Linked DNA regions of Neodiprion lecontei. The protein of the gene in region 1 binds, or shares a complex with, the protein of each later gene. Links are inferred from orthologs where the notes say so. Each region holds a gene or a part of one and is shown on either strand. Other genes may lie near its edges.

Region 1 (7,771 bases):
AAAGTATTCGGGCCGAGTTGTATGCTAGGTTCCTTGTAAATTCGAAGCAGCATAACTTGAGTCCATAACTGTATAGCCTTTATAAAAAAAAATAATAACAGAGTTTACTGTATGCAGATATATCATTTGTCAAGATTTCACAATTTTCAATGACTATTATATATAAATGCTTCGGATATGCGACGCTTGCGTAAATCAGTATACATGGTTTATTTAAAAAAAAAGTAAATCCTGTTTCCAACTAGCACAGTGATTAGTGTTTATTTAATGGTAATGCGAATATCTACATATTTATTTATTTGATTGCAGGTAATTGCACTTGATCTTAATACACAGATACTGGTAAATACTATTCTTGATTAAGTGAAAAAATCAAACGTCTTACCAGAGCAAAGCTTATGATTAAATCTTGACAGTAGTTGAACCAACTGAAATCAAATGCAATCCAATTCCCAATGATGATGACTAGTGACTCATATTTAAAAAGAAAAAAGTAACAGGCATGGCAATCGCAGGATTCGGAATGAAATCCTTTTTGTCATATTACGATTATTTGATTAACCTGCGATTTGTTGTGTATTGTTGTGCTTATTCAGAAGTACTTTCAGGACTGTTGTGATTTAATGAAAATGATTATCTGCTTACAATTTACCAAATCTTGTGTAATTTTAGCACACAGCTCCCAGACATGTTTTGTGGAAATATGGACAGACAATCCTGTCCCACCCATCTGTACATATTTTGTTTCGTTTTACTACTTCAACTATTAAAACTACACACGAACGTTTTGCGAGCAACAATATAACTACGCAGGGAGACTGAATTTTCTAGTCTCCAAAATTACCACAATGTACCACAAACATATATTTATTTCCTACATGATTTTGTACTTCTAATGAATAATGCAATTAAAATTTCAACATGTCTTTTATATTTCCGATGTTTCTAACGTGAACACTACTTAAATATATTGCAATAGAAATCAATATTGCTTCCATATTCGTCTTCTAATTCTCCAAATTATTCCTCACGGATACTGTTTCTTAGTCGAGGAATTTAATAGGATAAAATGTTCGATATATTCTTGCTTGTTCAATAGGGCATTAAAAAAGAACAGTTTAAAATTTTTGAACGGCTGCTCCTCTTAAAATTCAGTGTTTCCCAAAAGGACTATCCACAAATATAAGGCCTAAGGTCAAGAAACGAAGGTCGCTCTCTCAATTCACATGTCTCCCCGTGTATTTCTCATTTAGATAACATGTGAAAACTACATTCTCATATTCAGTCACTCTCTCTCGTTTTTTATTAAAATAAATCAATGAATAAATTCTTACGACTTTTCCTGCATAGCAGAGTAATTATTTTATTTGAAACGTTGTTTAAGAAGATGTAAAATTCAGTAACGACAAGAAAAATTCAACTAACAATGTCTCATTCATCTAACAGTTTTTTCAATATATTTACAACAGTGGCCATATCAGCACGATTTTTAGTTTCCTGGGCTACAGCACCCACCAGAGCTCTGAAAACTTTTGTCTTTCCAGCTTTATACTTTTTTACAACATCAGCTCGCTGCAGCAGTATATTTTTGCATATTTGAGTTAATTGATGTTCATCTGTGATCTGAGTCCAATTATTTTTCTCAACAATCTACAAACAAATAACATACATTAAAGAAAAGTAAAATTTTACATACATATCCACCCATGTATACAATCTGTCTATGTATGGCTACACTGAAACGAAATTTACTTGTTTAGGAGTCATCGACGATTCAGTTATGTACTCTTCCAGTACGTTTTCGGCAGTAGTTAAATTGATTGTTTTGTTTTGTAGCATGTCCACCAATTCACCAATATGTTGCGCATTCAAAATACTAGAAGATAAATTAGTTGATGAAAGAATTTATTATTATTTCATGTAGTAATAGTTTTACCGTGTTTCCATACCAAGTATCCAGTTCTAATGCTTTTCTGTTAACCACTGTTAGCAACTGGTTGATCAATATGTTTGATACAAGCTTGGGTTTTCGTTTACTGTCTTCTTTGACAACAGCTTCGAAGATATTCAGCAAATTGTTTTCATTCTGAAAAAGTTTCATATTTGCATCAATGTATTCACGGATAAATAATTCATAAGGTTTCCACCAAAAGGGGTTGAGAAGCTATTAGTTGACGACAACGATGACCACTAGCATTGCCTTTGTATCCTAGGGATTCTCTTTTACTTTATATCGCATAACAGCAATTGAAATGTAAATGAATTTGGTTCAGTGTGGCAATATCTTTAACCATTCACTGGCCGTGTGCTTTTTTGTACACATCGCTGTCCAATATATACGAATTCGATTATAATTAAACTAAAATTCAAGGAACAGAAATCGTTTACTTTTGAATATTTGGTGGAATAATTGGAATTTTCTTTAATAATACAAACTCACAGTAAGTATAATGGCGGCAGTTGAGTCGAGTCCAAAATTATTTTTAAGATTATATCGTGTTTCCTCTGGAAGCTCGGGAAGGCTTTCTTGCAGAAGTGGAACATCAACCAATCCATACTTATTTTTTATTTCTTTAGTGACGTGTACGTGCAATGGCGGAAGATTTGGTTCTGGCATAAAACGATAATCCTGTAATGTGACTTAAATTTTTTTTTACATGAATTTATAAAGAATCTTATTCTATCCTTCAGAACTGCACCACACAAATGTGATCTGATATAGTATGCCTATAAGTAAACTAGAAATTCAAATTAAACTTTCTAGTTGAAGGCACCGTAAAGATTTTAAGGTTTATGTACAGAAATTAATATGAATTCAAACTTGTATGAGGAAAGTACTCTGATTGAAAAATCACCAGAGAACATCAAAAATACAATAAAGGTAAAGTGCCACCAATACTGCGATTATTATACTACAAACCAGGAGCTGTGTTTACAATTCGTAATGTATAAAGGTCTTTGAAAGTAGCTTATTAACAATAGCGTCACATATGAATGGAATTCTGACAGTCTGTTTGCAACAGTAAACGAAGATTTTGTAAAAAGTTGAAAGACTTCTCAGTAAAAAACGGAATCGCCATGTCACTTAAATGTGACAAGATTGTCAACCGCTATAATAGAATTGCGCAACACACTCTTACAGAAATACCATATTTTCAAAGTATGCATTCTATACCTGCTTTTCTTCTTTATCTCGCATTGGAACTGTTTTGCGAATTTCCGTGTCCCATGACCTTGTTTCATTAATAATTGTACCACCATTCTCAATTTCTGTAATCTGTCTGTCAATTTCAAACTTTACAGCAGCTGCCACTGACCTAATACTTCCAATGTTCTTGACTTCTGTTCGCGTGCCCAATTTTTCCCCTGGTCGATTCACAGAGATATTGGCGTCAACTCGAAGGGCGCCCTCTGAATTCAGATCATTATGCGTAATGGCCATACTTCTTTGTTGTTAATCTTTTTTTTCATACCACTTTACCTTCCATTTTACAGGAGCACGTCCCCAATCTTTTCAGAATGAGTACGATCTCTTTGACTAGCGCAGCAGCCTCTTCGCCATCTGATAAGTCCGGCTCGAATACCAATTCCATCAGTGGTATCCCTGCTCGATTAAGATCGACCAAACTTCTGTTATTGTTGATCATAAAATAAAAATTCAATCCGTAAGTGTCTGTTAATATCTTTCAAGTTGATAATGGTCTGAGACAAAGTAAAGAATTTAAGTATTTGACCCAAAAGTGTAAGGCATAATCGAAATTAAAGCTAAACTTCAGAAGGTAACGATTTTGAGTTCTCAAGTTTTGTTTAAGCCAGGGCAAATATAACAAGGACATTCAAGACTTCACGTAGGTATAGATTTTTAGAATTTTTACAGAAATTTCACACACATGAAAATTAGAAATGTACTCTGCAGTGCTTTGTGTAAGACACAGATTGATCTGAAACAGCTTAAACTCGTGCGCTTCACGAAATGGAATCAATATATAATAATGGCTAGCACTTGGTTTCCAAACTCTTCGTACATGGTATAGTGAGAAAGCGAAAATTGCAGATAAATCGGTGAAGACATACATAATTAATACTTGACAATACTTTTGGCATAAGCAGGAAACAATTTTTCTCCAAATTTGTATAGATGAGTTAGGAGGTTTGTTTTACCTATATTAAAATGATGTACAATCCGAACGCATTACGAGAATATTTATATAAGTCAGTGATTGTTTTACTTCAGCAACAGGTCTACCAGCGAACAAAATATCCACAATAATTAAGAGTAATTTAATTGTAGCAACAGTTACAGCAAATAGGTATTGAATCTCTGACAGCACCTTTTTGCTATTAAATCGTGTAAGCTTTTGCCACTATCTTGTTCCAGTTGCAGCTGCTTGATTTTAGAAACTTTGCTGTAGGGTCGTGGATGAATACCCGGTGTATATACTTGGAAATTGAGTTCTCCATCTATAGCCAAGGCTTGACGTTGCTGAGTTATTTGATATCCTGCCTGTAAATATGTATCATTTAGCCTCAAGCAATTTAATACTACCTGTCTAGAAGATTAACTCGTCGTGACAATATGCCCAACCACAGCTCATACAGTAATTGCATCAAATTTAAAAATGAAGTTCGCCATATTCAAACAGTGGGTTTTATAAAGTTCAAAATTTGAATTACTTTCTAGTCAACTTACTGGCAAATCTGCATAGAAATAATGTTTTCTATCAAACAATGATACTTCGTTTACTTTGCAGGATAGCGCCAGAGCAGTTAGTATTCCTGCTTCGACGCATCTTTTATTCAGTACCTAAAAATCATAATATCAAATTCATAAAGCAATTCACCTGCAAAAAGCAGATGCAGTACGAAACTTTACTCATCAGTGATTATCCTTACAGGTAGTGTTCCCGGTGTAGCACAATCAAAGAATGAAACGTTACTGTTTATCGGGGAACCATACATGGTGCTTGAACCAGAAAATAACTTTGAATTCGATTGAATTTGGGCGTGAATTTCGAGTCCAACGACACTGCGCCATTTTTTCCTAAAACATTTATTGGCATCAAGGAGTATTTCGAAACGAGCTAATGGAAATTTTTCAAAACGTTCCTGATGTGTTCATTGACACCATAGAAAATTGATTTTTTTTCACATGGATACTACACTTTTATGGAGGTATTTGTTAATCCTTATGAAATCGATTTTGTACCACTTTAAAGTAAGTTTCAAAAATGACACGCATGTCCCCCAGTTAAGTAGAAAGAATTTAAATAATTTTATAAATCTTGCTTGTTGTTACTTTGTTTCAGCTCGAGACTTGGCTTCTGTACCAAAACAATGTTTCAACATCCGGAGATAAGGCTTGTTTTCGCGCCATCGTTTGATGCAAGGGTTAATTTTCCAACAGTTCGTGTAATTCATTGGATATTTCAAATAAATTTTCACTATTTTTACAGGCTCTCCGTCGCTCGCGTTGGCTGTGTCGTATGTATTGTACGTACATACACGCATACATAACCTCGCCCCACAATTAGGTGTGATACGGATTGTCACAGCTGACGACCACTAAATTCTATCTAGATGGACCTATACCTATATTGAACACGTGCGCTTCGTGCAGCGCTAATATACGTTGTTCGCAGCGACCCTAGACGCGTGCAATCGATTCCACTCGCAAAATTACATCGACGTATATCAGAGTTAAGATCTTTTCGCGTGTTTAGAAGCATAATATTTTTATATCCGAGAATTAATTCAATGGACCCTGTTCAGACTAATCGAACCCTAGGGAAGCCAAACAAGACATGTAGGACATCGTAGAATCAATGACTGAGGATAAACGGATGAATTTTTTCGTTGCTTGAATGTCACTTCTGAGATTTGGATACTATGGGAAATTATGAAAGCTTAGTAATGATGCGTGTAATATTGCTTAAGACAATTACAAAGTGCTTGGTTTTTCAAGACGAGTCCACTCTTGGAATTTCCTTCAAACTTATATGTTTAAAAAGAAATTAAAGTTTAGAGGATTTGCCCGTACACTTATGATTGGGTTTAATTATATTGTGGATCGGTTTTAAACGGTTCATTAATGAATACTGATAATGTTCTTACGAGAGATGGTCATACAGAAGTTATTTCTAGGTGATGAATTACAAGATAATTAAGCCAGATATTAATTTGTCGCTTAAAACTATAATAATTAATATAAGTAACATTACATTGTATCTATATCAGTTATTCATAAATTCTATATATATGTAGTGATAAAAATAATCATTGCAGTCTACTGCACACGTTGACGCCTACGTGCAGTTTGGTGCGCATGTTTATCAAACCGCAATTCCATTTCCTCCAAAAGACGAGGAGTATAGCGAACAACTAACTTCACCGAGTTTTGGGCTTGTTTCAGCGATTCCACAGCTGTCTCATGATTTTCGCCTTCAATACACTAGAGGAAATGAGAAAAATACAATATTTACACTATCCTGTATCATCGTATAAATTCTTGAATGGCAACGTTCGAGTATGATTAAATCTTAATATTTCATCAATGTAAAAATTTCACATTACGTACCACGCCATTAACAGACAGTAACTGGTCACCACGTTTCAAACCACCATGTCTGTCGGCCACACCTCCTGGAATAATTCGAGATATATATACAGGTGAATTTTGCTCTTTTCCTCCCATCACATTGAATCCAAGACCCTCCTCTGTTTTCGGTAATTCAACAACTCGCGGATGGGCATGTCCTTCACTTGCCGCAAAAGCAGCCACAGTCGCCTTGGCTGTGGCGGAAGCACGCACATCTTGAGAACCCTGTACCAAAAATTCCACATACTCTTATATTAGAGTGGTTTTAAACAGGATAGTTCTAATAAACTCAAAGTCTCAAAAACTCATGAATGGCGTATGCCAGGCACCAATTAAAGTATATGTTACGAATCGTTTGAATGTTCTCCAAAACTTTGGCGTCAGAGAAAGATTGATTATTTTATGAAAAAGGTATAATTGCTTATACTTAGTATTACCTGAATATCAACAGTCTCATACACGTGTTCATAGACTTCTCTTACTGCATTGAGAAAGTCGCTTTGTAGTACCTTCTGCAGAGCTGCTAACTTTGTAGCCGGTACTTCACCACCTAAAATAAGTCAGTATCAATCAAATATTCAAGATAAACTTAATTGCAATATAAATACATTACTCGATGATGTTATTTATGAAAACTTTATACAAACCATTTTAATTTGTAATAATCTAACAAATATTTGTTTTGGTAAGGATGTAGGTAATTTAAAAAAAATTTCAATCATCAACTTACTTTTCTGTAGTTTGTCGAGGAGTTCGATCGATCTTTTGACATCTATAAAAACACAAATAAACATAAGCGAGTACCAGAATGAAAAAATAGTGAATGTCCATTCTAGTAACTAATAATTAGATGATACTACAGACATACAGACAATTGAATGAATTGAAGTACCAAATTATACATTTCTTATTCTGCAATTACTTATTCAATGAATTTAGTTACATGATCAATCTAATTACTAATCACACCCAGAAGCGTATCTACGAATTGAAAACTATCCGGCGTTTGCACGACGAACTGACAGTACTCCAAACTGAGTAAACAAGAGCAATAAGTTAACTTACCCCTGGCTAATGTGAGAGGTTCCCCAATCGTTGCCATGGCTGTTAAGCGAGAGTACAAATATTTCTAATATGATAATTACTATCTTTGTTCTCCGCAATGATCACTCAGTA
Region 2 (3,812 bases), about 31 Mb from region 1:
TCGTGATTTACTTGTATGTTAAAGATCGAAATCGTGTTAAATGTGAAAAAAATAGCAAAGGTTTAAAATTAAACCATTTAGATGGACCGCTTCTGTTCATTTGAGGTATGTCGGAAGGCGTAGGAAACGGATGACAGCTGGGGTTCAATATGACAACTTCTTATTTGAATAATCATTCAAACAAATTACTATTGCTAGTATGAATATTGGAGGGATTATTGATTCATACATATATAACAACCGAATTTATCTAGGGTTAGTATTTTTCGAATACAGCTTGAAATGATCATCAAGATATAATACTGAGTTTTAAGTCAGCTTTACATTATTGAGCACAAAATATGTATATTGTCCGCTAAACTTAACATTGGCACAGTTACCGTTGATCTGCGCGAATTATATTTTATGAGATTATTTTATGAACACGGGAGATAGTCAAGCTCGTTGAACTATAACCGACTGTAGAAAACAATGATGCGTTTATTTAGAGGAGATATTGTGGCGATTCTTTTATGACTTTCAGTCTAGTCTTTTACATTGTGTACACTATTGAATAATACGTTCTAAGTCGTAAAATAGTAGCAGTTTTCCGAACTTCATGTTATAACGAATGTCATATAGCTAGTAATGTGAAAGCAATTCGTAAATTGACTAGTACATGGATGAATTAAATCTATCTTAGGAAAAATTTACATTTCAAGATAGATTCGCGATATAGTAATAGCAGCTCGGTTCGTGATTTCGTATCGGAATATCCATGGTAGTAACATAAAAAGTCGAGAACTGAGGAACGCGAACACTTTAGGTTTGATTTAACGTATAGGAGTAATTTTTGAATTTGACATATGCGAGTGATAACATTTTCCGTATGTTCAAGGAATACTTTTTCTAATCTAGAACTCTTCAAGCAGCTGATGAATTTAACGTAAAACCGGCGCAATATCTGCGTTCACTTTCGATGGGTATGTTTTCGATAATACTATAAATGTATAAGCATATTGAAGAAAAATTCCGTGCCCTTAGAAATTTGTTTCATATTGTTCGAGGAAGAGATTCGTGTATATTATTGTATAGAAAGTTCGTATTAGACATAGATTTAGATATGTATTCTGAAATATCGCAAGGCAATCGCGCAAAAGCGCCGGTCGCTTCAAACGGTAACAGCTTTGCATGTAATACATGTATGAATTAAAGTTTATCTATTGTTACATCTAAAGTATCACCGTCAAATTCTCGTATAGACTCATTGTCAGTAGACCGGAACCAAATACTTTATTGTTTACGCTGAAATTCTTTTCCATGACATGTGAGCTAGTGTTCGATATAGTCGAGATTGGTCTATTTGTCGAAAATATTCACGCTTTCCATGACTAAAGGTAGACAAATAAATAAATCGAATTCTAATTCTACATTCAACGTTCTTCGTTTTCCTACTACACATCATTGATCCAACGTAGTTTTCTCACTTTGAATTTCGCGCGTGTAACGCGTGCCTCGTACGCCTAATTTTAGATTACCCGTGTAGCAATCATACGCGTGATTTAAAAAATTCATGAATCGAATATCGAATTGTTGAAAGCGTGGTTAATCACGAGATGCCGGGGTTGTTTAAAAGTTGAGGTTATGTAATACACAATCTTAATCCTGACAAGTAACAAACAAACTGAGACAATGAATAAGATACTGTCACGACCGATAAAACAAGTGAGTAACAAACTGAATGCCGGCGAATTGAAGCCATCCGAGATTTGCAGAGCCGCGGTGAAGCTGGCAAATGCGTCAAAGCCGCTAAACGCGTATATTTGTGTGACCGGAGGATCGGCAGAGTTGCAGGCACAGGAATCAGATGCTAGATACGCCGAAAGTCAGCCTCTAGGAACCCTCGATGGAATTCCAATAGCGATCAAGGATAACTTTTGTACAAGTGGCACAGCAACGACCTGCGCATCTTTGATGCTGGCTAATTTTGTTCCTGAATATGACGCTACGGTATATAGCCGTTTAAAGAATGTTGGAGCAGTTTTGATCGGTAAGACTAATCTCGATCAGTTCGCCATGGGCTCAGGGACAATAGACTCGTATTTTGGGCCGACAAAAAATTTGTGGAAATCGACCTTTATGAACAATTACTTTTGTCACCCTTCCTCCGAGTCAGAAACAAGCAACAAGGAAACCAGCGATGTTCCAGACAATTGGCACATCGCTGGGGGGAGTAGCGGAGGTTCAGCCATCGCCGTTGCCACAGGGTCCTGTTACGCCGCTCTAGGTTCAGACACTGGAGGCTCGACTCGAAATCCAGCATCCTACTGTGGGCTTGTTGGCCTCAAACCAACCTATGGCTTGGTGTCTCGTCACGGTTTGATTCCACTTGTGAATTCGATGGATGTGCCTGGAATAATTACTAGAAAAATAGATGACGCGGTTCTGGTGCTGAACGCCATTGCTGGGCCCGACGATTTTGACTCGACGATGCTAAAGAAGGAATTCACCCCAATCGAATTGCCGGAATGTCCAAGCGTAGACGGCCTGAGGATAGGAATCCCAAAGCAGTACAAGCCACCAGGGCTGAACGTGGAAGTTGAAAAATGCTTGCTAGATGTATCTAAGCACTTGGAAGAAGGGGGAGCAAAAATAGTTCCTGTATCTATGCCCCACACGGAGCACTCTATTGTTTGTTACTCAGTTCTAAATCAATGCGAGGTTGCGAGCAACATGGCTCGTTACGATGGAATTGAATTCGGACTTAGGGTAGACCAGAACGAGTCTACGGAGCAACTTTATGCCGAGACGAGGTGCAAAGGGTTTAACGAAGTAGTGAGGAGCAGGATTTTGACGGGAAATTACTTCTTATTGGCTGAAAATTACGAAAACTATTTTGTCAGGGCCATGAAAGTGCGCAGGTTGATTTACGAGGACTTTGAAAAAGTCTGGAACTCTGATATCGACTTGCTGCTCACTCCCACTACACTTACCGATGCCCCAAGGTATCGGGAATTCATCTCCATGGATAATCAAACTCAGTGCTCGATCCAGGATGTCTGCACGCAACCTGCAAACATGGCAGGAGTTCCCGCTGTCAGTTTTCCTGTAAGGCTGTCTAGCAACGGGCTTCCCCTTTCTTTGCAACTTATGGCTCCAGTTCTTCACGAACAACAGATGCTCACTACTGCCAAGTGGATCGAACAAGTTCTACAGTTTCCAGAAATTGTATTAAAAGATTCAAGCTTACTGATGTAAAAATAATGAATCACTCGACTGTAAATAAATCTATTTATTTATCTTGTTATGAATATTACAGCAATCATACAGGCAATTTTGGAACTTACAATTAGTTGGAGTTACTACTATAACTAATTTTGCATTTATATTTGTGATTAAACTGAAGAATTTCAGAAGAAAATTTTGTCCGATACTTATAAGCAACGTTTTCAAAGAGAACAGATAACTGATTCGCGTATCTTTTATCTTTAGCAGTACAATCGGTATAGGTCTATGCCAATCTGATTCATCTTGATTGTAATGCATAGAATATTAATTCGAGAGTAAAATTCGAGGCTCATTGGAATATCGTCGAATTCATACATGCTGAAAAGTAACATGTATCTAGATATTTGAAAAATATTCCGCAAACTGGTAGCGTGCTCGAAAAATAATTCCGTAGATACATGCAGTCAGTTTTTCGTGAATCAAGGAAATAGCCTAAGGCAGTGTTCATTATCGATTGAGTGAAGTTCTTATGCTTCATTATTCCAGTCGTTGAGGTAAAGATCAGGCGAATTGATCCAGACACTGTGTTAACTAATCCCATCAGA

What was found.
Region 2: glutamyl-tRNA(Gln) amidotransferase subunit B, mitochondrial (region 1) and glutamyl-tRNA(Gln) amidotransferase subunit A, mitochondrial share a complex: the UniProt entries of both Homo sapiens proteins name them as parts of the heterotrimeric GatCAB amidotransferase (AdT) complex. The link is inferred for Neodiprion lecontei from reciprocal best matches to the Homo sapiens genes GATB and QRSL1.

The regions. Positions count from the first base shown.
Region 1 is NC_060261.1:6,984,497-6,992,267, reverse strand, and holds glutamyl-tRNA(Gln) amidotransferase subunit B, mitochondrial, read right to left. Parts: upstream 5,915-7,771; 5' UTR 5,509-5,914; coding exon 5,297-5,508; intron 5,042-5,296; coding exon 4,894-5,041; intron 4,805-4,893; coding exon 4,691-4,804; intron 4,505-4,690; coding exon 4,332-4,504; intron 3,631-4,331; coding exon 3,482-3,630; intron 3,412-3,481; coding exon 3,176-3,411; intron 2,630-3,175; coding exon 2,441-2,629; intron 2,087-2,440; coding exon 1,950-2,086; exon of another isoform or gene 1,937-1,949; intron 1,877-1,936; coding exon 1,753-1,876; intron 1,651-1,752; coding exon 1,432-1,650; 3' UTR 549-1,431; downstream 1-548. Other genes in the region: protein lin-7 homolog C, read right to left, coding at 6,284-6,448, 6,575-6,820, 7,033-7,145, 7,326-7,367, 7,661-7,697. UniProt on the Homo sapiens protein: Allows the formation of correctly charged Gln-tRNA(Gln) through the transamidation of misacylated Glu-tRNA(Gln) in the mitochondria. The reaction takes place in the presence of glutamine and ATP through an activated gamma-phospho-Glu-tRNA(Gln).
Region 2 is NC_060261.1:38,345,283-38,349,094, reverse strand, and holds glutamyl-tRNA(Gln) amidotransferase subunit A, mitochondrial, read left to right. Parts: upstream 1-1,571; 5' UTR 1,572-1,671; coding exon 1,672-3,237; 3' UTR 3,238-3,286; downstream 3,287-3,812. UniProt on the Homo sapiens protein: Allows the formation of correctly charged Gln-tRNA(Gln) through the transamidation of misacylated Glu-tRNA(Gln) in the mitochondria. The reaction takes place in the presence of glutamine and ATP through an activated gamma-phospho-Glu-tRNA(Gln).